Linked DNA regions of Oryza sativa Japonica Group. The protein of the gene in region 4 binds, or shares a complex with, the protein of the main gene of each other region. Links are inferred from orthologs where the notes say so. Each region holds a gene or a part of one and is shown on either strand. Other genes may lie near its edges.

Region 1 (2,495 bases), on a different chromosome or scaffold from region 4:
AAAGCCAGAAGCTAAAGATTATGGTACAAACATCATAAGATAGCTATATGACTATATCACCTCCTTTATTGACATCGAGAAAAATAACTTTAGATAAAGCCACTGCACATAACTAACCAAAGTTCGATGTAGTAATTATGTGGATGATGATGATCTCCGTGCTACTGGATGCATGATCGATAACCCAAGACAGTATGGACTTGCCATCGGTGGGTTGCTCAGGGAGAGCAACATAAACCTTGTCTCTAAACAGAGTTTTCTGCCTGAGCATCATACTCATGCATGCAACTGGTAAGGCCTTGAAGATGGAACTAAGAGATACTTCTATCTACCAGTTTGCGTTTCCCACTTTGGACAACTAAAAGAGGGAACACACTGCGTATTAGCATTAAAGAATAAGATTCCAGTTTAACCAGGTAAAAAGGTTGACTCTTGACTGAGACTATCGGAAGACAACGCAACACTCAACTACCAAGTCGCAGTGAATGGATTATCTGAGGAAAGTCATTTGGTACGCTGTCATGCCATGCCAGTACAACACGGCAAAATTTGCTGGGAACAGGGACATGTTATGAATTAATGTAAGACTCTACCTTTCTCACATCCTTCACCCCCATTGCTCACCACAAATTCCCTGCCTTTCATTTCTAATAAAAAAAAGATGTAGTGCATCGATTGTGTGCCAGTGATAGAGCCATCAGTCTATCTGGTGATCTAATCTAAAGATCTCGGCCTCATATTTCAGTTACTCCATATGAACGGGAGAAACAACCTACGGGTAGTGACGATTCAGCAATAATAGCATATGAAATTTGAGGCGAACAAAATTGACAACAAGCAAACATCTCATCATCACCAGTACTGCATATGAAATTAAATCATCGTGGTACAGTCAAATCACCTTTGACGATTGACTAGAAATGGCGAACACCGAATAAATACATCGCGGCGGCGGCGGAATCGCGCAGGGAGACGGCAACATCGGCGCGCGGCGAGGCGGGAGTTGGGGGAAGCCGTCGCCGGCTCACAGGATCCCACCGGGGTCGCCCGCCTCGCCGTCGGCGAGGGGGAAGCCACCGCCGCTCCGGCGAGCGGCGAGGCCCATATTTATCCCTCGAGAAAAACCCTCGCCTCGCGTCCCAGCCCAAGTTTTAACGTGCGGCCCAGTAAGAAGATACAGCACGAGACGGCCCATTTTAAAGTGGGCCGCGAATCTGCGGCCCACGAGGAATTTTTTTTTTTTTGACGCTACTGGTTTGGGAGTTTGACACTGTGACGAGTAGAGGTCAAGTTGGTGGGGAATCTAGGCGGCGGAGGCGGTGGAGCGTGTCGGGGAGAAGCCGCCGGCGGCGAGGGGAGATGGAGGCGACGGTGGACGAGCTGAGCGAGGCGTACCAGGAGTTCGTGGCGGCGGCGGCGGCGGTGGTGGAGGCGCGGGGGCAGTCGGGGGGAGAGAAGAACGCGGCCACGGACGCGGCGCTCGAGGCGTTCAAGCAGCGGTGGGAGCTCTTCCGCGTCGCCTGCGACCACGCGGAGGAGCTCGTCGAGTCGATCCGCCAGCGAATCGGTTCCGAGTGCCTCGTCGACGAGGCCACCGGCGCCTCCTCCTCCTCCTCCGCGGCGCTGGCCGCCCCCGGCATCAAGCCCATCAGCGCCGTCCGCCTCGAGCAGATGAGCAAGGCCGTCCGCTGGCTCGTCATCGAGCTCCAGCACGGCGCCGGAGGTGCCTCCGCCGCGGGTCCCGGCGGCGGGGGCGGCGCCGCGGCTGCGGCTTCCGGCGTTGCGGGGCAGCACGGCCACGGCGGGGTCGACACGCGCTTCCCCGAGGACGGCGCCCAGTAGGTATTTATTTTGCTCAATTATCTTGTACTAGTAGTATTTTCTTCCAAAGAAAACAAATTACTGGTGGTATCTCTGTGTAATCGTCTAAGAATTGAAGCATTAGAGCTTGTGATCGATATTCTAAAAAAAATTGAGCTTGTGATTTTCTCAGCATTGTTACTTTATGCCTACTGATGTTAAAATTTGGGAGAAATTAACCGTTTTCTTAGTGTCGTGGCCAGATCACGCTTAGTAACTGATTTAATTTTGTCCTATTGCTTTTGTTAAGTGACTAATTGTGTAACGGACTTCCTTCCAGTAGGTTTTAGTTCTGATTTGTAGCTCGCTCACATAATGTTCGTGCATCGTACTAAGGTAAGGTAGTAAACCTGAGGTCCCAGGAAAAAATGAACAATTTCATATATACTACTCAACTAGCATATAACTGTATAAGTTCCTTCAACTTTCAAGTACCTACTCTGGATGTTTTGCTAATCTTGCGTCCGCCACAATGTGAATGCTTTTCCTTCTGATTTTTTAATGAACAACATTTTATTGAAGAATAACTAAGCAGCCACAAAAGGCACAATTTGTGATAATAAACTCTGGGAGATTGCTCATGGTTTGTGAAACCCAGTTATACTGGAAAGTGATATTGGTTATTAGCTACTAGT
Region 2 (4,299 bases), on a different chromosome or scaffold from region 4:
TTAGCAACCGCTAAATAATTCATCCTAAACATGCGGAATATATCAATAGTAAACAACCTACTCTAGTATCACTTACTGTGACCGCATCTGACAAAGGTTCTCTTCAGAGGACTAGAGGAGTTTATATCAACTGCAGCTTGATCTAAATTCATAGTTAAATTTTAATAATATATAGTTGTAGAATATAGAAAATAAATAAGAAATTAAATAGAAGTACAGGAAAACTACATTTTACATGTTTTCATGAGGTACTGCTAGTAGCTACTCAACGGTTGCTTAGGCTTGATTCGTTTATCTGGGTTGGGAACCTTTCATCGAACACGCTAAATGGAGTGGTAGATTTACACATGATTAATTAAGTATTAGCTAAAAGTATACACATGGAAAATGATAGGGTATAAGTTGGAAAAGCTTGCTGTGTTCTTTGTTCAGAGTTCCCAACCCCTCTACCTCGTGTTCCGTGCGCACGCTTTTCAAACTTCTAAACGGTGTATTTTTTAAAAAAAGTTTCTATATAAAAGTTACTTAAAAAATAAATTAATCTATTTTTGAAAAAAAGCTAATACTTAATTAATCACGCGCTAATGGACTGCTCTGTTTTCTGTGCGTACTGTTCCGGTTGGGAATCAGAGATACCGAACACATCCTAAAAGAACACGACTTTGATATTCCTTAGGGGAATGCTAGGAATCGGTCGCTCAGGGGAGGGAGAAAAATCGGGCGCTCCCTCCTCCCACGACGCGCACTGCCCTGGGCCCCACCACGTCTCTACCCCCACCTGCCACTTATCTCTATCACATACTCCATTGCAACAAATCACCTATATATTTTGGAAACACTCTATTAAGGGAATACATTTCATTTTTTTCCACGAAGAATGTTTTACCTTTTATACCCACAATATTCCACTGTGTATAGATCTAATGTCGCAGTGAACTGAAACATTCTTTCACTATTTGCTGAAACATTATTTTTATATAAGGTGAAACAACGCCCGACTTAAACTATTGAAACATTTTCGATCTCTTAGTGAAAAAATTCCGATATACTTGGTAGAATATCGTGCAACATTTTAAAATAATTCAATAATAAGCTAAATTTTTTTTCATCGGAATATATCTATGTGTGTGATCTTGTTTTGAAGATTTAATTGCAACGAATTTAATGGTGAAATCATGATTTGGATAAATAATTTAAGAGAAAAATTAGTTTAAAGTAGTTTTGCACGCATGCGTCATACTGATGTCAGCGTCCGATTTTTCTCCAAACCCATCGGTCGCCCGACGCGTAGGCTCCTCTTATTCCTTGAATTAGAATAGGTATGGCTACACGCCTACACGCACACAAGATAGATGAGGTGGGTGAGGCGGAGCAGAGGATCCGGCGGGCTGGGACCACCTCGTGTTGGTGCCTGGTGGTGATGCAGTGGGCGAAGTGGTTACACCAACGCGCACCACCACCACCATCTCTCTCTCTCTCTCTCTCTCTTCCTCCTTCCCACCAAACAAACATCCCACGCTTCGTCCCTCCCACTCCACTCCCCACCCCCGCGACGCCTGCGGCGACGACGACGGCGACGGCGAGGAAGGCTGGCCACGGCACGCGGCGGCGAGTAGTCCAGCATGGCGGCGCCCTCGGCGGCGGCGGCGTGGGTGGACTGGGCCGCGGAGTACACCAAGGCGGCCCAGGCGGAGTCGCGCCCGCCCGCGGAGTGGGCCGCGCGGGTGGCCTCCGTCGTCGCCGCCGCCGGGGACGCGCCGTGGTCGCCCGGGCTCGCCGAGATGCTCGCCCGCGCGCTGCTGTATGGCGGTGGCGGCGCGGCGTGGAAGTACGCCGAGGCAGCGCTCGCCGCGGGCCTCGCGTCGCCGGCGCTGCTCCTCGCGATCCTCTCCACCAGGTACGGACGGCGCGGCGCCCCCGCTCCCATCCATTGCCCTCCCCCCACGCGCGCGCAGTGGCGTTTGTGCGCGCGCGCGGGGAGAGACGAATTTGCGTGCGTGGTATCTGACATGGGCTCCTGCTCACGTGGGGTGTACTGTCTGATGGAATCCGCGCAATCGCGATCGGATCAGGCTACTAGTTTCGATCTATGAGATTTCCCTCGCAACCAGATTACCACAAATGCAAGTTGTTCTACAGCGTGGCCTGTACATGATCATAAACAATCTGATGTTTTGGGCCCTGTAAATTTGAGAAGGAAAAGGGATGGTGGCGTGCTTACTGTGCGTAATACCCATAAATTTGAGAAGTATATGAATGGCAGTGTATGTAGAGTACTCGAGTGTGCAGTGTAATGCAGATCAATTTAATACATGTATAGCAGCAGAATACTCTGTTTCATTTTTTTCACTTTTTTTCTTCTCTCTAGAGTCTAGATCATGCTAGTTGGAATAACAAGTGCAGTTTGAAATGTGCTTTTCAGCAGTAATCGTATAACCAACTGGCGAAATCCGTGCACATTTTCAATATCTGCTATGCTGCTGTGGAATGTTCTATAAAATAGAATATAAGACTGATTGCAAATATTCCGTTGATGGTTTCTCTCCATTCAGGGTCATTCCTCACCGGTTCACAAGGCCAACTGCATATAGACTTTATCTGGAGCTCTTGCGGAGACATGGATTCAATTTTGCTTTTCAGATGAAAGCGGCGAATTTCAAAAAGTGAGGTTTCCTTCTATGAGGTGTTCCCAGTAGTTTCATAATGCACGCATTCTATGTTCAGAGGTTTCGAAATATACATCACAGGAACATGTACATCATTCTGAACGATTCAGTACTGTTCAAAAGAATTATATAAGACGGGAATTTTAATACGATATGCTGACAATTAGAGTTTTGGGTGTCTACCACAATACATCTAGACCACCTTATTGCATCTGCATACTGGACATATCAAGATCTGTTCCAAAGAGCAACAATTTGCAAAGGAAGAATTTCACCTGGTTGAAAGGGCCAGTTCTGCAGTGATACATAATATTTTCGGTTGAATTGGTTAAGGTGTCACTTTATATGTTTTCAACTCGCATATAGTTCTTTCATGTTAGTTTTTAAAGAGTTTGTTTCTTGTGACATGTCTGTTCTGTTAGCATCCTATGTTTATGCCTTGTGTAGGTATCTGTCATTCTGTCTGCAACTTATCATTCCTTTAGTTGTCTTCTAAATGCAAAGTTTCATGACACCTTCTCATATTTCCGCAGGATCATGCAATTAATAGATGATAACCTTGGTCTCTCAAAGATATTTGGCTTTTCAACATGCGAACCAGGGGTTTTTGTTGTTGAATTTACCCTTTGCATGTTATGGCAGTTGGTTGATGCTGCATTAGATGACGAAGGCCTGTTAGAGTTGATACCGGATAAGAAAGCTCATTGGCCAACTAGATCAGATGATGTGAGTGCATTTGATGGAACTTTCTCTGAACAAAGAATAGACAAAATTGACAAGTTACAGAAGATGAATAATGTGATAACTATAGAGCTCATTGGGCATCTTCTTCATGACAAAGTAATTACTCATATCCTCTCATTGGCACGCGAAAACATGTATGGCTTTTCAACTTCATGTACTGCTTTACTGAGTTATTCCAGCTCTTTCTTCCTATCACTAAAAACAGTGAATTTATCCCTTTGTTATTATATCAATTGATAGCAACTTAATTTTATTTTAGTGAGTTAATGTATGGCTTAAATATCTCTGTGTTCCATATGCACCATATAATTGAAAACATTCTCTCTATTGGCTTAAGGTTCTCAAGTCAAGCTTCTGTGTCTTCTGAGTATACAGGGTATTGCCAATATTTTTCTGGAATATATCAGATTCATTGTATTTATGGAATGGCTGTACACTTTTATAAAACAACTGTCGACCGCAATGCTAAAATGTGAACTAATAGTACTCTAGAAGGACTACTGGTTGTATGAACAAGCAAGCTTGATTGGTTGCAACTGTAATGTTCAAATGATTTTCTCTACTACTTTATAACCAAGAAGGATCACTGATAGAATCATAGAAACTCTGGCCATGGGGGACAAGCTCTGATATACTCATGCCAATATTGTCTGATATTGCTGTTTGTGTTCATAACTGTACTAGAATCGTACACAAATGAACTATTGGGATAACAGTACATTGGTAGAAGGCATTCGTTTAAACTTCCAAAGTGGGGATCAAGGGCATCCTTAAGACACCACAACTGAATTCACTTACTGTTTTTATTTTTTATTTTTTTGAAAAAGTATGCTACTTTAATTTGTTATTATTACCACCAGTACTAACGAGTCTTGATGATTCAGGCAAT
Region 3 (4,231 bases), on a different chromosome or scaffold from region 4:
GCTATATGTGAAGTTATCAGCAGCAATACCTTCATATATTTCAACAGCCTTCTTGGTGTGACCAACCTTACATAGACCATTTATTACTGAATTGTATGTTACGATTCCAATCTTTATCCCCTTTTTATCCATCTCTTCAAGCAAAGAGAAAGCCCTATCCAAATATCCCTTTTTGCACAAATTGTCAATCAAAATTGAGTAAACATATTCATCCACCACCACTCCTGTCTGTTCCAGTTTCCTCACTATAGAAAAAGCATCATCCAACCTGTTTCTCTTGCAGAAACCACCAATCAATGATGTATAAGTGATCAAATTCGGCTTAGCATCCCTTCGGTTCATCTCATCCAAGAATCCCATCACTTTTTCCACACTACGTTCTCTGCAAAGTCCATCAATAACAGTAGTATAACTAACTACATCAGCTGCAATGCCCTTATCTAACATCACCCGATGCTCACGGAGCCCTTTCATCAATAACCCGCTACTCATGTATCCATGAACCAAGCTGCCATATAAAACAGCATCACCAACCAACCCCTTCCCTTCCATCTCCCTTACCAATTGTGCTGCCTCAGTAGTTCTCCCTACACGGCCAAGCACATCGACAAAAGCGGTTAATGTGATCAAGCCTGGCTCAAATCCATTGAACTCTCTCCTCACCCTCCTATAGAATTCCAGCCCATCCCCAGCCTTCCCGACCTTGGAGAAGCCTGAAATGATCACGCTGCAAACACGATCATCCACCTGACACCCCGCTGCAGCCATTACGTCGAACACCTTGAGCGCGGTCTCCATGTCACCGCGGGCACACAGCATCGTCAGGGCCACACGATACGTGGACGGAGAAAACACGAGCCCGCACTCCTCTACGCCGGCGGAGAGCACCTCCAGCGCGCGGCGAGCATCGCCGCGCACCGCGCAGGCCCGGCGGAGCAGCGCGTCCCAGAGGCGGCGCGCGGAGGAGGTTGCCGGGCCGGCGAGCGCGAGGCGCGCTGCCGCGTCGCGCGGACGGGAAGAATCTAGAAGCGCCGAGGCGACCAGGAGGTGGGTGCGCGCGGTGGGGCGCACGGAGTTGGCGACCGCCTGCGAGGCGAGCGCGCCGACGAGGCGGTGCCTCCGCCGGCGGAGGAGCGCCGCCAGTAGGATGTCCACGCGGCGCGGCGTGACGGCCCTTCCGAGCTTGACCAGCGACGGGAGCGGCGGTGGTGGTCGGGGCTCGCCGCCGGCGAGCGGCATGGCGGAGGGTGGTGGTGGTGGCGCCGCCGCCGCGTGGGAAGCGAAGCGCAAACGTTCGAAACGTTGGAAGCCGATGGCGTGGGCCGAATTTGGATACGAGCTTGTTTGGATCTGGGCCTGAATAGATATGGGCTTGTATTGGTTCTGGGCCTGTTTGGATATGGGCTTATTTAGGTGAGGCGTTTCGAGTCGGAAGCGAGAAGGGGAGAAGAGGAAGATGCAGCAAGCGCAGGCGTCGGCGGTGGTGGCCGCGCCGGTGGCGGCGGCGGCGGCGGCGGCGGCGGGGGCGACGGGGCACCAGCACGAGGGGGCGAGGGGTGACGCGCCGCCGAAGCAGGTGGCGCAGGCGATGGAGCGGCTGGGGCGGGCGGGGCGGCTCATCGCGGACATCCGGCTGGGCGCGGACCGTCTGCTCGAGGCGCTCTTCGTCGCCGGCGACGCGCCCCCGCACAGCGCCCCGCAGCACGTTGAGAAGACCGCGCTCGCCGTCGCCCAGGAGGAGGCCGCCATGCACCGCCACTTCGACGACCTCCGCGCGCTCGGGAGGTAAACCCATCTCCGCCCCGTGCCCCCACACTCTCCGATTCAGAAGTTTTTCATCGATTCCTTAACCTTTGACTGTTACGTCGCAAAATACAACTAATTCCCTCCGAGAAGAACCATTCCCGTCATGATTCCACGGTTGCAGTCTCAAAATGAAAAAGGAACATTCCCGTCATGATACCACGGTTGCAGTCTCAAAATGAAAAAGAAATATTCCCGTCATGATACCACGGTTGCAGTCTCAAGAAGAAAAAGGAAAACCCTTGTCTAGATAATTTCTGGAAATTGGTGGCTGGGATATTGATTTAACTTCTTTGGATTGTATGATTGGACTTTTTTTAAAGTAATAATCTCCTTCCCAGTTTAGGCATGGCAGCACATTTTTTTTCCACTAAATTGTTCTGTAATAATGGTTAATCACCATAAACTGATGCCACACTCTTCTTTGGTGTTATCCAATTGCTTGTATCTTGTGAAACCCTTCTACCTATGAAACCTTGCTACGAGAGATGCACGGACAGGCTTAACTGCTCAACTTTGGTATATGAACTTTAGCATTCTAGAATATTGGCTGGGTGCCTGGGTCTATCAGATTGGGATGCATTTCTGGAACTCGTGTTCCTTGGCTTGTAATAGAGCAATATTTAACCTTAATTGAACAGCTTCAGCTTGAACTTGTTTTGGGGCTGTTTGGATCAGGGACTAAAATTTTAGTCCCGGTCACATCAGATGTTTAACACTAATTAGAAGTATTAAACGTAGATTAATGAAAAAATCCATTTCATAACCTTGAATTAATTCGCGAGACAAATCTATTGAGCCTAATTAATCCATGATTAGCCTATGTGATGCTACAGTACACATGTGCTAATTATGGATTAATTAGGTTTAAAAAAATTGTCTCGCGAATTAGCTCTCATTTATGCAATTAATTTTATTATTAGTCTACGTTAAATACTTCTAATTAGTATCCAAACATGCGATGTGACAGGGACTAAAATTTAGTCCCTGGATCCAAACACCACCTTAGTGCCACTCAGGGCTCGAACTAGTTTTAGTATCACTCGTGGATGGTAAGGATGTAGGGTAGGTGCTCACTCTATAATATTGTCTCAGCAGAGCAGTTATGTGTTGGGTACAATTGTTTACATGTGACCACTTGACCAGTCGTTTGTTGAAGAAGTCTGCAGGCATTTGGAAAATCCATGTTTCATGGCAACATGGTACTATTCTGTCTGATGAATAAAATGTCCAAGCAATATGAACTGCTTGTTAAACGATGGTTTTTGAGTCTTTCTGCAACCTGAAGTTGCTAGATAAACGGAAGATGAAATTTGCAGGTGATATAGTTATGATTTTAGACAGAATAGTTAGTTTGTGAAAATCCTGAAGTTAGGAGTACTAGATAAGCTTAAGCCATGTGACTGAGATTTTTTTAAGTCAAAGGATATTAGGAGCCATCTTCAATAAAGTTAGGTATGTGAACAGGATGGATTCACTCGATTTTGCTGGTGCTTTCTTATTGTTCTTTCACAGTATTCTTGTTATAGTGTTTGGGTTAGTTGTGCTTGTTGCTATTCATGATGTTTTTACTTTGTGATGAACCATCAATCATTGCTTACACAGTTCTCCTGGTAAGTTCCAATTATTTTTATTGAACTTCAAGTTTCAAGTTCCACTATTTCTTCATAAGTGTTGGCCTAGCCAACTGAAAGTAAAGATCTAGTTTTTAAACTGTAGCCTAATAAATATCTTGTATCCATTGCTGTTAGGAAGGCAATTGGAAGAGTCTGGAGTTCTAAATGGAGCCCTTAAAGCCAGAGGCAATTCATGGGGCTTGCACATGCCACTTGTTTGTCCAGATGGTGCAGTTGTGGCATATGCTTGGAAGCGTCAGCTGGCTGGTCAGGCTGGTGCATCAGCTGTTGACAGAACTAGGTAATTTCATTACCATCATTGTTGTGTTGTATGTTTGCTGCCACAATATGATGTGCTTATTTGTCTTATTTATATTCTGTTGATGTGTGAGATTTCATCAACCGTGCATTGCAGAATGCAGATTAAATATTTATACCATGTTATTTCTTCCTGCGATATACGATAATTTTCTTGGCCGATAAATTTGTACTGTTGTTTCCCTCTTTCCCCTTTAAATTTGTACTGTTGTTTCCCTCTTTCCCCTTTTTCCCTTATTTCTCCTTTTTCCCTCTTTTGTTTCTTCTTTTGCACTTTGCTTTCTCTAATCCTTCTACTATGATAATTACATTCTTCCAAGGTGTGGAGTGCTTTTGTAGGAATTGAAGTATTAGATCAGTTCTTGTTTTCGTTGCATCCATATTTTATTTTGATTTTACACAGAATGCATCGGAAATATTCCAACGCCCTTCATTCATGTGCTTCTTTAGATGTATGTACTTATGTTGAAGGCTTCAAGCCTTCGGATCATCCC
Region 4 (3,398 bases):
TTGAATTGGGAAAAAAAAGTACATAAAGATGCGATATGCACCAATAAAATTATAAAAGGAGTTACTTCTGATGATGCTTTGGCAGTTCTAACCCATTTGAGTCAATTACTACTTTATCATCTGCAAGATAAGCTCGTGAATGAAAACTAAGACCTATAGTACTAGTATCATGTTTGTAGTAGGAAGATCCCCCATGCTGTGCAATAAGATAGGAAAAATGGTGTGTTCATTTAAGTGCAAACTTACAAGTTGAAACCACTCCCTTCTCATAACTTATATAGCTTGAGTTATAGAACATTCTTGAGTTTTCAGCTACCACTCTTTGGTACAATGGTATAAAGGTTTTCAAACTATATTGCAGCAATAAGAGGTACAGACATAAGGTAAAACAATGAGAAAAATTAAGCAGAGTGCATGAACATGGAAGTCATTACTTGATTGAAAAGCCCATAACCAGCTAGCAAGCCTAGCAAGCAATTATGACTGAAACCTGTAATCTGTGAAGAAGGGCATCAAACATTAAACACACCATGTTCAAGTTTAAATATCCATAAAAGAAGCCATGTTTCTGACGATACAACACCAGCACATCCTGAGGAAATTAGACCATCATGCTTGATTACATATATCGAAGCAAATTGACTAGTGAGATGGTTTAATTAATCAACACATACATGATACGCCACCCAATTCTATTCAATACCAGTATATTGCTGCATGATCTTGAATAATCATGTATGAGAGCTTGCATTATTTGTTCTTACTAGTACATGACCTACAACGGCATGGAAACATGAATCATAAAATAGCTTACCAAGGAACTAATCCTCATCATCTTCTTCAGAGCTCCCGACGTCGCTACTGTACTCATCACTGCTAGAACTATTGTTAATGTCAAGATCAACATGCCGAACCTGTATCGGTTCTTGTGCCTTCGGCACCATTGCTGGCACCACAACCGGCATCTGTTGCACACTGGCCCGTGGCTCCTCACCCTTGACACCAGCCAGAATGCCATCCGGCGGTAGAGTGATCGGGTCCCCGGGTTTCCATCCAGGCGGCGGCAACGGGATTTCGAGAGGCAGCGCCCCGTTCCGCCACCCATGCGGATGCGGCACAGTGATTGGTAGCACAGCTGCCTCCTGGGTTGGTGAAGGCTGAAAAAGCGGAGTGGCATCTCCCTCTGCTGCAGTCCTCTCCTTTGCTTCCTGGGATTTCGGCACTCCAACATCCAAATCCGCAAATTGATACAGCTGCGACATCCTCATCTCATTTTCCTGAGGAGCAGGCGGCAACGCCCCACGCAGAGGCAGCCCAGCACCATGCTCAGGCGGCGCGAAGGTCGTGTAGCTTATGCGGTGGGCGTACGTCAGGACGTCGTCCAGGTTGAGCTTGGAGTGCAGCGACGCGCCAAAGTCGCCGTCTGACACCGGCTCGGGGTCGTCCGCCGCCGCGGCGCCGCGCGGGCGCTTGGGGTCGCGGCGGTAGTCGGCGTAGTCGTCGACGAGGCGGTCGAGCACGTGGTGCGCCTCGCGGAGCTTCTTGGCGAAGGCGAGGATCGAGGCGTCCTTGGCGCGCGCCTCGCGGGCGAGGCGCGCGCGCGCGTCCTGCAGGTCGAGGGTCTCCTGCAGCTCGGCGACGGCCTCGAAGAGCTGGGTCTGGAGCGTGTTGAGCAGCGACAGCGCCTCCTTGGTGGAGGAGATCGGGGCCGGGAGCGGCGGCGGCGGCGCGGAGGACGGCGAGGGGAGGAAAGTGGGGAGTGACCCCCGGTACGCCGAGATCCACGCGGCGCGGCTCGGCGAGAGCTCGAAGAGGTTGGAGGCGAGCGCGGAGATCAGCTGGAGGAGCGCCTGCGCCCGCGGGAGCGGCGGCAGGAGCGGCAGCAGCGACGGCGATGTAGTTAGGGTTGGTGCAGCGGCAGCGGCAGCGCCCACGGCCGCCGCCGCGCTAGGGTTGCCCTGCGGCGGCGAGGAGGTGGGATTCCCCGCAGCCGGGTTGGGCGGGAGCGACGGCGACGAGGCCGTCAGCCCCAGCCGCGCCGGCGAGGGGTGGTGCGACTGCATCATCGCGGCGGCGGCGGCGGCGACTGCGGATGCAGGAGACGGACGCGAGGCAGAAGCTACTAGACAAAATTTCCTCTTAATGGGCTAATGGGCCTCCAAATTGTATTATATGGGCTTTACGGCCCATAAAAGCCCATTAACTCGGCCATAAAACACCATCTCTTCTGACTCCGCCGCATCGTCTCCCCAATCTTTTTGGCGGGAGAGCACCACAGCGCCGCCTCCACTTCCCGCGCAATTCGCAAGAGAAGAGCCATGGACGGCGGGTCCTCCACGGCGGCGAGGTCGTCGGCGGCGGAGATGGAGGAGCACCAGAACTGGAAGAAGAACGCGCCGGTGCTCTACGACCTCGTCATCTCCCAGCCGCTCGAGTGGCCGTCGCTCACCGTCCAGTGGCTCCCCTCCCACTCCCGGTCGCCGGGCTCCGCCCGCTCCCACCGCCTCGTCCTCGGCACCCACACCTCCGACGAGACGCCCAACCACCTCCTACTCGCCGACGCCGCCCTCCCGCTCCCGCCCCGCCTGGCGGCGGCGGCCGCGGCGGCGGGCGGTGCCGTCCCGGCCCCGTCCGTGTCCATCTCCCGCTCGGTGCCGCACAAGGGCGAGGTCAACCGCGCCCGCTGCATGCCGCAGAGGCCGTACACGGTGGCTACCAAGACCTGCGTGGATGAGGTGCACGTGTACCATCTTGGCGACGGCGGCGAGAAGGGCGGCGCCGATGTGGTGCTCAGGGGGCATGAAGCGGAGGGGTATGGGCTGGCGTGGAGTCCGATGAAGGAGGGGTTGCTGCTGAGCGGCTCGTATGATAAGAAGATTTGCCTTTGGGATCTCGCTGCTGGGAGTGGAGCTTCGTCTCTGGATGCACATCATGTGTTCGAGGTAATGCGCCGTCAAATGCCCCCCTCCCCTCATTCCATTTTGCAGTAAACATTTACAGTCGTTAAATGTTACATTATACGATGCAGTTGAGCAATGATTCGTAATTCATAATCCAATTCATTTAGTAAGGATGCTTCGATTGTTTCTTCCCCTTTTTTTTTTCAGTAAACAAATTTTGATCTGCCAGATCTCTTAGTAAACAATATTGAAATAATGAAATTGAACTGTTTCTGGTCTTTCCTAAATGTTGGAAGAGAATCATTATAACTGAAATAACTGCACAATTCCAGAGTAGATAATTGCACTGCGTAGGAGAAAGGACACAGCAATTGAATAACTAGTCGAGAAGAGAACATGGTTCCATTTCCATAGCTGCATTTTAAGCACAAACAATCATCTCTTGGTGTGAGGAACAATTCTATTATGCATAAACAGATCACTGAGTTTTTTTTATGT
Region 5 (4,059 bases), on a different chromosome or scaffold from region 4:
AAGCGATTTGAGGATTTCTTTTTTGGGATTCTGGTGTCACAATATAGCTACAAGGAGATATATGCGACGTGTTGTGACGCGGAGGGAGCTGAGAGCGAAAGTGTTGCCTACGTGGCATGCCACGTTGGCGGTCAAACACAGCCAAAGGACGTTTGGACCAAGGTGATACATTAAGGCTGTGTTTAGTTCAGCGCAAAGTTTGGATTTTGGTTGAAATTGGAGATGATGTGACTGAAAAGTTGTGTGTGTATAACAAGTTGATGTGATGGAAAAGGACTGAAGTTTGGATCTAAACTTTGGATCTAAACACAGCCTAAACCAAGTTCACGGACCTAAACGTGTAATTTTCAAGTTCATGAACCTAAGTAACAGCACAACACAAGTTTAGAGACCGGCCATATATTTTACTTAAAAAAAGTAACAAATAGTACCATGATCTTAGCTCCTACTGTTAGCATTGTCCTCAATTTTATGGAAAGCAACAAAACTTGAGATTTAAGATATAAGGAGTTAAATGATATGATTTCAGTGTTCACAAGCAAGAATACTCTACTATAATTTATTGTTGTTTGTAGTACATACAACGCTATGTCTGGGTTGGATTAAAACCTTATAAGGGGTAGTATGAAATTGGCCTATGCAATAGTAGAAGGAGATAACATGGGACCAAAATATTGATGTTTGGGGTTTGCTCAAAACATGAGTTTATGTTGGAGCTAATTGACAAAAAATAGAACATGTCATAAAATGAACTCTAATCATGTAATGTTTGTCATAAATTTAGTACTTCCCATTACAACTTATACGACTTCACTACTTATAATAAAATTATATTAACTATATGTAACTACATTAAAAAACCATGCTATCATAGCATCAGAAGTGTTTCTTCCAAGAAAATTCATTTTTCCCATCCCCAGTTACATGAATATTGGAGCGAATCTAACGGTTAAAAAATCAAAAAATTTCCTCGTGAAATATATAAATTAATCTACTTCATTCGTCTCAATATAAAGCAACATAACATGAAATGGAACGTATCCTATTACTATGAAGTAATTCCGGATACTAAACAAGGCTTGTTGTCTATTTCGCTCGTATCCCATGGTTTACAGGACAACACAAATTGCTCGGTTTTCTTTGGTAAGTTTTTATTGAAAAAAAATATTCAAAGCGAACCTTTTCTTTTTTTCTTTAACAAACTTTGAGCCGATTTTACCGGTTTTCGTGAAAACGGGGAAAAACCACCTCCCCCTCCCGTCCTCATCTCGCGGTCTCCCTCTCTCCAACACTCAAATTCTCCGGCGCCGCCCTACTAACTCCGACGGCCCATCTCCGCCGCCTCCGCCGCCGGCGTGAAGCCATCTCCGCCTCCTGTGAAGCCCCCCAACTCCCGCGAGCTCCTCCACGCAGCAGATCCGGCGAGCTCGGATGGACGCGGCGGCGCTAGGGGCGGCCGCCGGGGCGCCGAACCCGGCGGCGCCCGTAGGAGGGGACCAGCAGCCACGGACGGAGCGGCTCAGCGCCGGGGTGCAGCAGCAGCTGAACCTGGAGGGGATGCGGGCGCGCGCCGTGGGCCTGTACAAGGCCATCTCCCGCATCCTCGAGGACTTCGACGCCATCGCCCGCGCCAACCCCAACGCCTCCCCCAAGTGGTAGTACTTGCCTCACCTCCATTCCCCCATCCCCCGATCGCCCGCTGGACTCTGTAGAGGATTCAGCTTCCCCTTTCTAGGGTTTATGCAATGCTGATTCGTGCCGTGGTGCGTGTATGGCAGGCAGGATGTGCTTGGGCAATTCTCGATGGTGAGCATGGAGCTCTTCAATATCGTGGAGGACATCAAGAAGGTGTCCAAGGTGTTTGTGGTCTACCCCCGAAACGTTAATGCCGAAAACGCTGCCAGTATGCTTGCTGTTCCACTTCTCTTCTCTTGTGTCACCAATCGATCGCTATATCAGTAATAACCACACTAGTTAGGTAGATCCACAAGCATAAAGTTTGTGGGAAGAAGAATACATGAACATAATGTAGAATGGAATTGCTCTGCGTAGTTCAAACCTTCACAAAATATTGCCTTGGGCAGCTGTTACACGCTACCCAGCTAAGCAGACCACTTTTGATTCCATGACCTTACCAAACAGAGTCTTCTCATGTTCAATGGTGCCCAAAGCCAGATGAGAAGACAGGTCACCTGTTATGAGAACCAAGAAATATACTATGTGATTTCTGTTATGAGCAACAAGGATATATGAGATATTATGGTTATGCTGCATTTGGTAATGAGTAGTTCATATATATACATGTCATTTCTTTTACGAGTTGTTTTACACATGAAGAACCAATTGTTGACCTTTCTCACTTCCTAGCAATAGTTATTCCTTTGGTTTAAATATTGAGATTAAACTTCAGGCTGATATGGCTAATTGGCTTTAGTTAAACGAATTTTATCCTAGGGTAAATTGGTAAAGATATTCCTAATGTAGCATGGGTAGCCATTTTTGTCAACACTTTCCTATTTCTGGGATAAGTGTGATAGGAATCTAAAAATGACCTAACAAGATGCTAATTGGTCACGGTTGCTGTATATGGTTGGGATGCATCGCAATTTGTGTTCCCATGTTCATCTGCTTCTAGTTTTACCACATCGTTAGTCCTGTTTGATATTCGTGAGTACTGCAGTACTGCCTGTAATGCTGTCGTCAAAGCTGTTACCTGAGATGGAAGCTGAAGAAGCTACAAAGAGGGACAACTTGTTGTCTGGAATAACGAATCTAACAGTTTCTGGACAAATTGAAAAGTTAAAGGTGATTATTTCTGTCTGGAAAATGCAAACCTATGTAGCTTATTATACCTGCGTGATCTTTTCATTATCTGTTAATTTTAATGGGACTTGCTGCTATTCCTTTCAGACTAGGATAGATATGATTGGAAGTGCATGTGAAACAGCTGAGAAAGTAATTGCTGAAAGTCGCAAGAATTATGGTCTAGGAGCCCGTCAGGGGGCAAATCTTGGTCCTACATTGGACAAGGCACAGGCTGCAAAGATACAGGAGCAGGAAGGCCTACTTAGAGCAGCGGTAAATTATGGTGAAGGTGATAAGCATTAATGGTGTATTAATATAGCTATCAGTTTAAAAATTACTTTGAATTTAATTTTAGCATAAGCTTCTCCTTTTATGTAACAATTTCATTGTTTATAGTCCATGATGATTTAGTCTGATTATCCAGGATTGCGTGTACCGGGAGACCAAAGGCAGATGTATTCATCTCTTCCTAGCCATTTAGTGGACGTACTTCCTTTTGGAGATGGGGCACATAATTTTGGTGATAATTCTGGTCTGTTTCTGTGACATACCTACAATTCTCCATGGTTCACTCCTTGTTTTGAGCATTGGAACTATAGCATCAATGAGTTGTTCATCTGCTCTAGATGTTTTTTTATATAAAAATAATCAATAACTTGCTGCTACCCTTAGTGTTGCCATTTGTGCAGTCTGTATGTCACACAATGCTTCAACAAAAGCATATAACTAGAGTCTATACTTGCAGGTGTGTACCCCAAAAATACCTCAACATTTGTACCTAATGTTGTCAACGCCCAGGGAAATCCAATGCAGGTTTGTCTAGTGCCAGTAATAACAGCTTTGACCATTACGAAATTAATAGAATATGTCCATATTATTGCTAGTTGGGCTGAAAGCAAAAAAAGTTACAAAAGGCAGATGTTTTGTTTCCCGTGTATCAATTTGCCATATAATTTGTAATGGTATATTGGTATTCCTTTCTATGATCAACTGTATTAAGTGTTGGTTAGAATGCTTTCCCTTGAACTATTATTAAGACAATTGCATTTCATAAGAGCAATCACCAACCTGACCTCATGCAGGCCTTTGATGTTTCTATCTTGATGTTCAAATTTGGGCCTTCATTCTAATAGCAGGTGTCTGGAGGACAGTTACTTGGCAGACCTGCTCCATCACCTGGAGCTACAGGAACGCCTAATTTTGAAAATGTATCTACTCCTCCAATGCCATATGCAAACTCCCCTAGGTCAGGGA
Region 6 (4,203 bases), on a different chromosome or scaffold from region 4:
GTTTGGCTCGTGTTTGGGCCCATCGCCTGACCTTCCCTTCTTTTGGGTTGGGTTTCTTTGGATTTATTTTTAAGATGGGCTTGTTGTTTTATCGACTTATTTGTTGCGAATAAAATCTTACCGTGCCGTATCATCAATTTCATAGGTCATGACTCTGCTGCATCTATTGGAAAAAAAACATATTTATATTGTATAAACAAAGAAAACATGCGTAGTTAGGATGGGCTATCGACGATCACGACAACAATGATAATAACCTAAATAGAGAGCTAGAGATTCTTATAAAGATTCTTATAAGACGCTTGTGATTAGTCGGCTGATGATAATCTGAAAGGGTTAAGTTTCAAGTTTCTAGCTCCAAGTTCATAATCTCAATTTTTATGTACATATATGTGCTAGCACACTACAATTTCTATATGTACATAAAAATCGAGACAATGATGTAATGAAAGTTGTGGCCTAGAGAGATATCATTTAAAGTAAAATGATGGAATAATACAATTTAATTAAAGATTCGATACATAAACAATTGATGAAATTTGTAACCGAGGGAGATAAATTTTAACTGAAATTGTCAAACTATAAATCTGACGAAAGATTCATTCAAATTCCCAAAAAGGCATACATTCACTCATTTTATCTGCCTTGGTGCCAAATTTAACGAAATTTATGTACCCAGTTTCAAATAAATAGACGACTATCCCCATTTTCTTACAAGTTACAATCCACCGCAAGACCACAACACCAAGATTACCCGCCTCCATGCCAATTTCAATGAAATTCGTGTATCCAATTTTAAATAGACAGACAACACTCTTTATTTCGTTACAAGTTAGTACATCTAGGTACTATACAAGAGTAATATTGGAGTGTGTAAAAAACTGCCGTAGATTTTTTAAGTGTAAAACTTCGAGATTAAATTATATTATAATTGAAGTATAGTTGTACTGTAACTGTATTGTAACTACGGTATAACTTATATAAAACATGTATTTAACCGTGGTTTGGCTGACTAGCACCGAGATCTTGCACATAACATGTATGATATTTTTGTAGCAATGTTATCTCTTGAATGTACAAATCTCCAGTAACCCGATGACCATAAATCTGAAAGTTTTGAGAGAAAAAGGGTGTGTTTAGTTCACGCTAAAATTAGAAGTTTGGTTGAAATTGAAACGATGTGACAGAAAAGTTAGAAGTTTGTATGTGTAGGAAAGTTTTGATGCGATGGAAAGTTAAAAATTTTTTTAAAAAAGTTTGGAACTAAACTCCACGGAACTTGCAAAAGTTTTCTAGCAATTTCGATCCAAAATTCAACGGAATTCGTACATACCCAGAGCTCACCACTCCCGAAACGCCACCAAAAGACCAAACCCACTCGTTTCCCCTCCCCCCCTCCCTCTGACTCTCTCCCCGTCGTCGTCATCGTCATCGTCGTTCGTCGTCGTCGTCTCCCCTTTCCACGGCCGCATCCCATTCCCCACCCAACCTGAAAGCGACGCCGCCGCAGCGCACACGCAGGAGGCAGCAGCAAAGCGAGGAGGGGAGGAAACCCTCCCCCCGCGACAGCAACGGGCGGTCGCTTCCAGTGACCTAAGCCTCCCCCTCCCCCCCTCGCGCGCGCTTCCCTCCCCTTCGCCTTTTTGTCTCCTCCGCCCCTTATGACCTCTTCCTCCGCCCCAAACCCTAGCCCCCTCGTCCCCACCCCCACCCCCTCTCCCCCCACCGCCAACGCCGCCGCCGCCGCCGCCGGAGCCGTGCCCGTCTCCTCGCCGACGCCGCCGCCCAAGGATCAGCAGCAGGAGGGCCAGGGGGGTGGAGGAGGAGTGGGGGATGGGGGTGGAGTGGAGGAGGTGGGCGTAGGGGGAGGCGAGGCCATGGAGGTGGATGGTGGCGCGGGAGGTGGTGGTGGGGGGGTTGGGGATGTGGAGGGGGGTGGGGGTGGTGGTGGTGCGGGGGGAGGAGGAGGTGGAGGTGGAGGTGGGCAGCAGGCGTCGCCGGCGACCGTGTTCCGGATCCGGCTCAAGCAGCCGCCCTCGAGCCTCCGCCACAAGATGCGCGTGCCCGAGCTCTGCAGGAACTTCAGGTGCGTTTCGAGATTAGTTGTGGTTTTTTTGGGGGTGTTTTTTCTTTCTGGGATTTAAATATGTTGGGGGAAGCTTAGGTGTGATGAATTTAAACCCTGATCTGTTTCAGCTTATTCATCGATTTATTGAAATGGTTTTTTTCCCCCCGAAAGAAATTTTCCTCTACTGTATTGCTTAGACCACTTGTTTTAAGCTATTTGTTAAGTTTGTCTCTCAAAATATCTAATTTATCCCTATAATATATCCATGACAATAATCCACTCAATAATCTAAATCAAACGATCTGGGTTTACTTTTTTTTTCCTCTTCAAATTTGGGTGGCGTTTCAATGATTGGGATGAACAATCTAGTGACTCAAACTTGCAGAAGCATTAGCGTGGGCATGGAATTGTGATTGCTTTGAATGATTGTATCCTGTGCAGGCTTCTACTATACTAGATCAAATACAGTTATAACATGTAGTGTCATTATTTCACATAACTAAGTTTAGTCAGGTCAAACTGGTTACTTTGTTCACCAGTTAGAAAATACCGAACGTGATAACTCCATTTTTAAAATCCACATTATTTTTTTTTGTTTAAAACTGCTTTGATCTTGTAGGATGAGGTTGCCTTGTCTGCTTTAGCCTACACTATATCGGGAACAACTAGTAACTATCTTATCTATGGTTTTTTTTTTATTGCAGTGCAGTTGCTTGGTGCGGGAAGCTCAATGCAATTGCATGCGCATCAGAGACTTGTGCACGCATACCAAGGTATACATTTTTCCATCCTTTCCCTGAAAATTTACTTTCCTCTGACCTTTAGTTATCCATAAATAAGTTTGTTCTGTTAGCTTGTCTTAGTGGGATATTCAACCATTTGGTAGAATTGTTTGCTTACAGTTTCTGGTTATGAAGGTTTCTTTGCCGTAAAACGATCTAATGTATATTTTCAGCTCTAATTCAAGCCCACCATTTTGGATTCCCATACACATTCTAAATCCAGAGAGACCAACAGAATGTTCTGTTTTCAATGTGAAAGCAGGTAATCCATGGCTAAATCTCAATTGTTTTGGTAATGTGATTACGTTATGCATGTGCAAATCACTGTCCATTGGGCATTTTATAGTCAGGTGAAGGGTGAGATTCAAACTCACTTTTGTTTATATACGAGTTTTTCTACCTCCAATCCTAACTCACTGTAATTTTGAACAGATTCTCCACGCGACTTTGTTCAATTCATTGAATGGTCTCCTCGATCATGCCCTCGTGCATTACTGGTGGCAAATTTTCATGGAAGGATTACTATATGGACACAGCCAACTAAGGTACATCTCTACCTTAAGCAAATTTCGGTATGCATATCATTTTTTTTTGTTAGTAGTACCATTGAACTTACTTTGTTAATTTGCGAAACACTCAGGATTTTCTTTTTTCATTTCAAGTCTATATACATATCATGCTGTTTTGTGTTTTTTCTCTAATACTTGTTTCTTTCTTGATATGGTGAAGGGTCCTACTAATCTTGTACGTGATGCCAGTTCCTGGCAATGTGAACACGAATGGCGTCAAGATCTTTCGGTGGTGACTAAGTGGTTGTCAGGAATTTCTCCGGTTTGTTGCCAATTTGCAAACTTACAGTCTGCTTCTCTTGTTTTTGATAATTAGCACTTTACACTTGGAATGCAAATATGCAATACGATTGACCCAGCAGTTTATACAGTCCGCTTCACAATTTAACATTCGAGATTTATATACTTTTCAGTGTCAATTGTTAATCATTATTTTTTTAAAATATAATATTTTATAAAGCAGTGACAATAGACTTGAGTTTAAACTGTTCTAAGATTTTTTCACTGGACATTTATCATAAACAATTGCAACAATTAGGTAAAAAAGATTCTGGCTCAGTTTATGTCTGAGTAAGTACTTTGATCTATTTCAAATGACACTACCTGTGTTTGATTACCCTTTTGGCCTGAAATAAGTGGATCTTAGAATCGAAGGAATATAATTACTAAGCTGTTGCCACGGCTAAATTTGTTTTGTTTCTTTGACTTTGCAGTATAGATGGCTTCCTGCAAACTCTAGTACTTCATCAAACTTGAAAACCTTTGAGGAAAAGTTCCTTACCCA
Region 7 (3,500 bases), on a different chromosome or scaffold from region 4:
TTAATGCCTATCCTTTATGTTCTTAATATATCCTGATTGCTAATTTTGTTTTGTCCATGATTTTTTTCCATCTTGTGTTGTGATTCGGTATCAGCTCTTGCCTTGGATCATCTCGTGGACTTGGAGTGAACTCTAATTTTCTAAGACTAAGGAGACAGAAGAACAGCAATTACAGCAGCATGGCCAGTAGTATCAGTAGTGTTAGTAGCACTTCCAATGGAAGTGAACATGCAGTTGCTGCTGAAGGTGGTGACCTTTCAGCTGATGCAGACTCTATGGCATGCCATCAGTCTGATCTGCCATCCAACATTGCTGGTAGCAAGATGGTACTTTGTTACAATCCTTCTTAATTTACCTCCCCCCAAAAAGTGAACCTTAATTCACACATAGCCTTATAGCCTTTTTATACTTTGCTATTAAAATACTGTTTCTTTTTTAATCACTAGTTAAGCTATTATTAACACAATAATATGTATACTCTTCCATCCTTCTTACGATCTTATTGGTGATTCATCTTTAATGAGGCACAGATGCAAATATAGGGTATGCTTAAATAACATATTTATTTTGGAAACGCATAAGACATGTCAACCATGTGTTGCTACATCCTTCTTATGGTCTACAGAAATGGTGTATGCTATTAGTGATGCCCAAACATTTTTTTGTGCCATCTCCCAATAGGCTTTAATCTAATGTAATATGTTAATTAGAGGACTGACATACTTAATATATTCTTTTCTTTCCTGTAAATGGTATCACTATAATTAACAAATGGTTTGGTATTGTGGATAAATGAAATGAAAATCTGGATAGAAATAGATAAACCAAATGCCAGTAGACCTTTTGTACATGACACGACACATTATGAAGTTCATAGAAGCTTATAGATGTACCTTCTTACGTGTAAAAGTGTTTGTGTCTAATTTGTGAGTAAATACGATCCACTCAGACCTATGTTCACTTAAAACACGGATGTCCATGTATTTGCCCATTGATGCTAAACCTATCAGATCAAATATTTTCTTCCCACATGCAAGCCAAGTGTGGATGAAGACTCTGGTGAATGAATTTTCTGCATCTGGCACCTTTTATATTCTTAACTTTTGTGCAACAATATGAAAATGGTATTACACGATCATGCTATTGTTGTGCCGTGTGCCCGTGTTACATGAACGTAATGGCATTGCTGTAACCTTGATGTTCTGTACCTGTGAAACCAGGTATCCAAGCGGCCTCGTTCTGAAATACCAGAAGTTTCTTCTCGTGCTGGTAAAGAATCCGTGGATAACAATCAAGGGGTAAATGGTCAAGGTAGATGTTCTTGGGGCTGGGATGAGGAGGGGGTTGCGATGGACATCAATTTACTAATATCAGAGTTTGGAGATTTTAGTGACTTCTTTCAAGAAGAGGAGTTAGACTTTGGTGAGGTATGCTGTCATGTCCCATGATCTTTCTGTAGTTTACCAATCAACCAAGGATTTACTCGGACTAATGATAATACTGTGAATCTATGCTACTTTGAGATATTCTGTCAAGTATAGAAGTAGTCAAATTCTGTTAACTAAGATTATATTTTGTAATTCCTACTGTTGCATTTTGTGCTGCTGCGTAACCTTTTTTTTTTTTTTTTTTTACAAAAATGGGCAATTTTCACAAAACCATGCATAACGAAGTATTATAATTTGTTTCAAGGAACCCATGTTTTGGGGCAAAATGTTTTGAGGAACTCAGATTTATATAAAATACTCATTTTCATGATTATATATGGTATTTTTAATATATATTCACATATAAGTAGGCTCAAAATGCACTTCCTCATGTCTAATTTATCTTCATCACTCTCGCACTCAATGATTGCACATACTCAACACAGTCCTCACTGTTGATGACAGATTAACCGGTTACATAAACACAAAATGGTTTATACTTTTGATAATTAACACATGTTGAAAATGCGGATAATACATATATACTTAATTAACAAAATATCACATACTATTTTTTGCAATTATTATGCATAAATCTATTAGCCAAATAGACAATATAAGTTTAAATGTAGTGTTTCTTGAAACATTTTGCCTCCAAACATGGGGTTCCTTGAAACAAATCGCAATATAAGGGGTTTTCCGTTACACATGCTCCCAAACCCGGGATTTTGTGAAATTTACTCAAAAAACCACTACTGCTTGTTTTAAGAGTCTAGATTATAACTGCCTCTACTGCTTGTTTTAAGAGTCTAGATTATAACAGGTGGCTTCATTACTGCCCTTTTAAGTGTATAAATTGCAAAGAACGACCATTTATAGAATTCCTCACAGCTTACATGCCTTGAAACATGTTGCTTGCGATTTCGCCTAAAGCCTGTGGAGGAATTTTCTTCTACTGCACAACCTCATGTTGTTTGCCTTCTAATTTAGACAGTTGTCAAACTATTCATGAACAGAAAATATTAGGAAATTCTGCTCGGCAGATCTAAACAATTTCGAGCACAATAATTGCATTTTCCTTGAACAGAAATAGAACATGATTGTTGCATCCATTGTGGCTCAGAATTGCAATGTTCTAACCTACCTACAATTTATATAGCCTCCAGGTACTGCTGAATCACATTCTCTGGTGATCCCCGGTCCTGACTGTGGGGATGCCACATTCACAGATAGTCCGTCGACAGCTATGGATATACCTGAACAAAGATTTTCTCCAGTTGGTCTCTCATCTTTGGAGGTATTTAACCACCAAACTGTAGCACCTATTCATGATGTTGTTTCTAAGGTTCAAGAGCCTCAGAAAGATATTGCGTCGCCTACAAGCTCCCAATCAGTTGTGTTATCGTCTGGTAGATCTAGTCATCTGACCAGAGCTGAAGCATTGCTCACTTATGCACCCGAGTATGCAGCTATTGAAATTTCCACCGGTGAGACACCAACATCGTTGTTTACAAATCCTTACCAGCCCAGATCCATAAAACCAGGGAGTTCTAGTTTTAACTCAAGAGTTTATTCATATGATGCTGCACAAAGTTCTCAAATGGAGTCTGGAGAAGACAAGCCTGAGAAGTCTGTTAGACTAGCATCTGGTAATCTTTCACGTGATATTGGTTCATCAAACTTATACACAGTTGTCCAAGTTGGGAAAAAAGAAAGTGACAAAGGATTAAAAAACACTGACATACAATCAGGCAAGGAGGAAGCATCAAGACCTATTTCTGGTGAGACTTCACTTGATTCTTCTGTGGTTTCTCAAAGGAAGAGTGACAGCATGTTTAATGCTGGATACTTCCTACTATCTATGAAGACTGCTCTTGCAACTGAAATGGAATGTATCAAGTTCCAGGCTGCCATGTGTAGAATAAGGCATACACTATTGTCTTTGAGTAGCAAAGCATCTGCTGAGCTAAAAAGTGCATTATCCAGTCTTGTGCATACAGATGTCAGCAACAAGTTAGATCTTGTCCCCAAATATGACATAAAAAGGAAAGAAAATATACCAGCTAGGCTATC

What was found.
Region 1: mediator of RNA polymerase II transcription subunit 4 (region 4) and mediator of RNA polymerase II transcription subunit 32 share a complex: the UniProt entries of both Arabidopsis thaliana proteins name them as parts of the mediator complex. The link is inferred for Oryza sativa Japonica Group from reciprocal best matches to the Arabidopsis thaliana genes AT5G02850 and MED32.
Region 2: mediator of RNA polymerase II transcription subunit 4 (region 4) and mediator of RNA polymerase II transcription subunit 33A share a complex: the UniProt entries of both Arabidopsis thaliana proteins name them as parts of the mediator complex. The link is inferred for Oryza sativa Japonica Group from reciprocal best matches to the Arabidopsis thaliana genes AT5G02850 and RFR1.
Region 3: mediator of RNA polymerase II transcription subunit 4 (region 4) and mediator of RNA polymerase II transcription subunit 27 share a complex: the UniProt entries of both Arabidopsis thaliana proteins name them as parts of the mediator complex. The link is inferred for Oryza sativa Japonica Group from reciprocal best matches to the Arabidopsis thaliana genes AT5G02850 and AT3G09180.
Region 5: mediator of RNA polymerase II transcription subunit 4 (region 4) and mediator of RNA polymerase II transcription subunit 8 share a complex: the UniProt entries of both Arabidopsis thaliana proteins name them as parts of the mediator complex. The link is inferred for Oryza sativa Japonica Group from reciprocal best matches to the Arabidopsis thaliana genes AT5G02850 and MED8.
Region 6: mediator of RNA polymerase II transcription subunit 4 (region 4) and mediator of RNA polymerase II transcription subunit 16 share a complex: the UniProt entries of both Arabidopsis thaliana proteins name them as parts of the mediator complex. The link is inferred for Oryza sativa Japonica Group from reciprocal best matches to the Arabidopsis thaliana genes AT5G02850 and SFR6.
Region 7: mediator of RNA polymerase II transcription subunit 4 (region 4) and mediator of RNA polymerase II transcription subunit 13 share a complex: the UniProt entries of both Arabidopsis thaliana proteins name them as parts of the mediator complex. The link is inferred for Oryza sativa Japonica Group from reciprocal best matches to the Arabidopsis thaliana genes AT5G02850 and GCT.

What each region holds. Positions count from the first base shown.
Region 1 is NC_089044.1:22,150,995-22,153,489, forward strand, and holds mediator of RNA polymerase II transcription subunit 32, read left to right. Parts: upstream 1-1,269; 5' UTR 1,270-1,359; coding exon 1,360-1,842; 3' UTR 1,843-1,995; downstream 1,996-2,495. Other genes in the region: U-box domain-containing protein 70-like, read right to left, coding at 118-280. UniProt on the Arabidopsis thaliana protein: Component of the Mediator complex, a coactivator involved in the regulated transcription of nearly all RNA polymerase II-dependent genes.
Region 2 is NC_089041.1:6,111,050-6,115,348, forward strand, and holds the start of mediator of RNA polymerase II transcription subunit 33A, read left to right. Parts: upstream 1-1,499; 5' UTR 1,500-1,622; coding exon 1,623-1,897; intron 1,898-2,552; coding exon 2,553-2,663; intron 2,664-3,199; coding exon 3,200-3,544; intron 3,545-4,294; coding exon 4,295-4,299. UniProt on the Arabidopsis thaliana protein: Component of the Mediator complex, a coactivator involved in the regulated transcription of nearly all RNA polymerase II-dependent genes.
Region 3 is NC_089035.1:8,936,521-8,940,751, forward strand, and holds the start of mediator of RNA polymerase II transcription subunit 27, read left to right. Parts: upstream 1-1,431; 5' UTR 1,432-1,456; coding exon 1,457-1,785; intron 1,786-3,558; coding exon 3,559-3,720; intron 3,721-4,231. Other genes in the region: pentatricopeptide repeat-containing protein At5g57250, mitochondrial, read right to left, coding at 1-1,239. UniProt on the Arabidopsis thaliana protein: Component of the Mediator complex, a coactivator involved in the regulated transcription of nearly all RNA polymerase II-dependent genes.
Region 4 is NC_089043.1:25,716,283-25,719,680, forward strand, and holds mediator of RNA polymerase II transcription subunit 4, read right to left. Parts: upstream 2,142-3,398; 5' UTR 2,067-2,141; coding exon 822-2,066; 3' UTR 501-821; downstream 1-500. Other genes in the region: histone-binding protein MSI1 homolog, read left to right, coding at 2,319-2,942. UniProt on the Arabidopsis thaliana protein: Component of the Mediator complex, a coactivator involved in the regulated transcription of nearly all RNA polymerase II-dependent genes.
Region 5 is NC_089037.1:18,123,815-18,127,873, forward strand, and holds the start of mediator of RNA polymerase II transcription subunit 8, read left to right. Parts: upstream 1-1,259; 5' UTR 1,260-1,431; coding exon 1,432-1,655; intron 1,656-1,778; coding exon 1,779-1,903; intron 1,904-2,680; coding exon 2,681-2,805; intron 2,806-2,910; coding exon 2,911-3,094; intron 3,095-3,229; coding exon 3,230-3,337; intron 3,338-3,550; coding exon 3,551-3,618; intron 3,619-3,938; coding exon 3,939-4,059. UniProt on the Arabidopsis thaliana protein: Component of the Mediator complex, a coactivator involved in the regulated transcription of nearly all RNA polymerase II-dependent genes.
Region 6 is NC_089044.1:19,707,083-19,711,285, forward strand, and holds the start of mediator of RNA polymerase II transcription subunit 16, read left to right. Parts: upstream 1-1,403; 5' UTR 1,404-1,661; coding exon 1,662-2,086; intron 2,087-2,772; coding exon 2,773-2,841; intron 2,842-3,023; coding exon 3,024-3,112; intron 3,113-3,282; coding exon 3,283-3,395; intron 3,396-3,579; coding exon 3,580-3,681; intron 3,682-4,132; coding exon 4,133-4,203. UniProt on the Arabidopsis thaliana protein: Component of the Mediator complex, a coactivator involved in the regulated transcription of nearly all RNA polymerase II-dependent genes.
Region 7 is NC_089039.1:22,060,902-22,064,401, reverse strand, and holds part of mediator of RNA polymerase II transcription subunit 13, read left to right. Parts: intron 1-94; coding exon 95-326; intron 327-1,220; coding exon 1,221-1,427; intron 1,428-2,586; coding exon 2,587-3,500. UniProt on the Arabidopsis thaliana protein: Component of the Mediator complex, a coactivator involved in the regulated transcription of nearly all RNA polymerase II-dependent genes.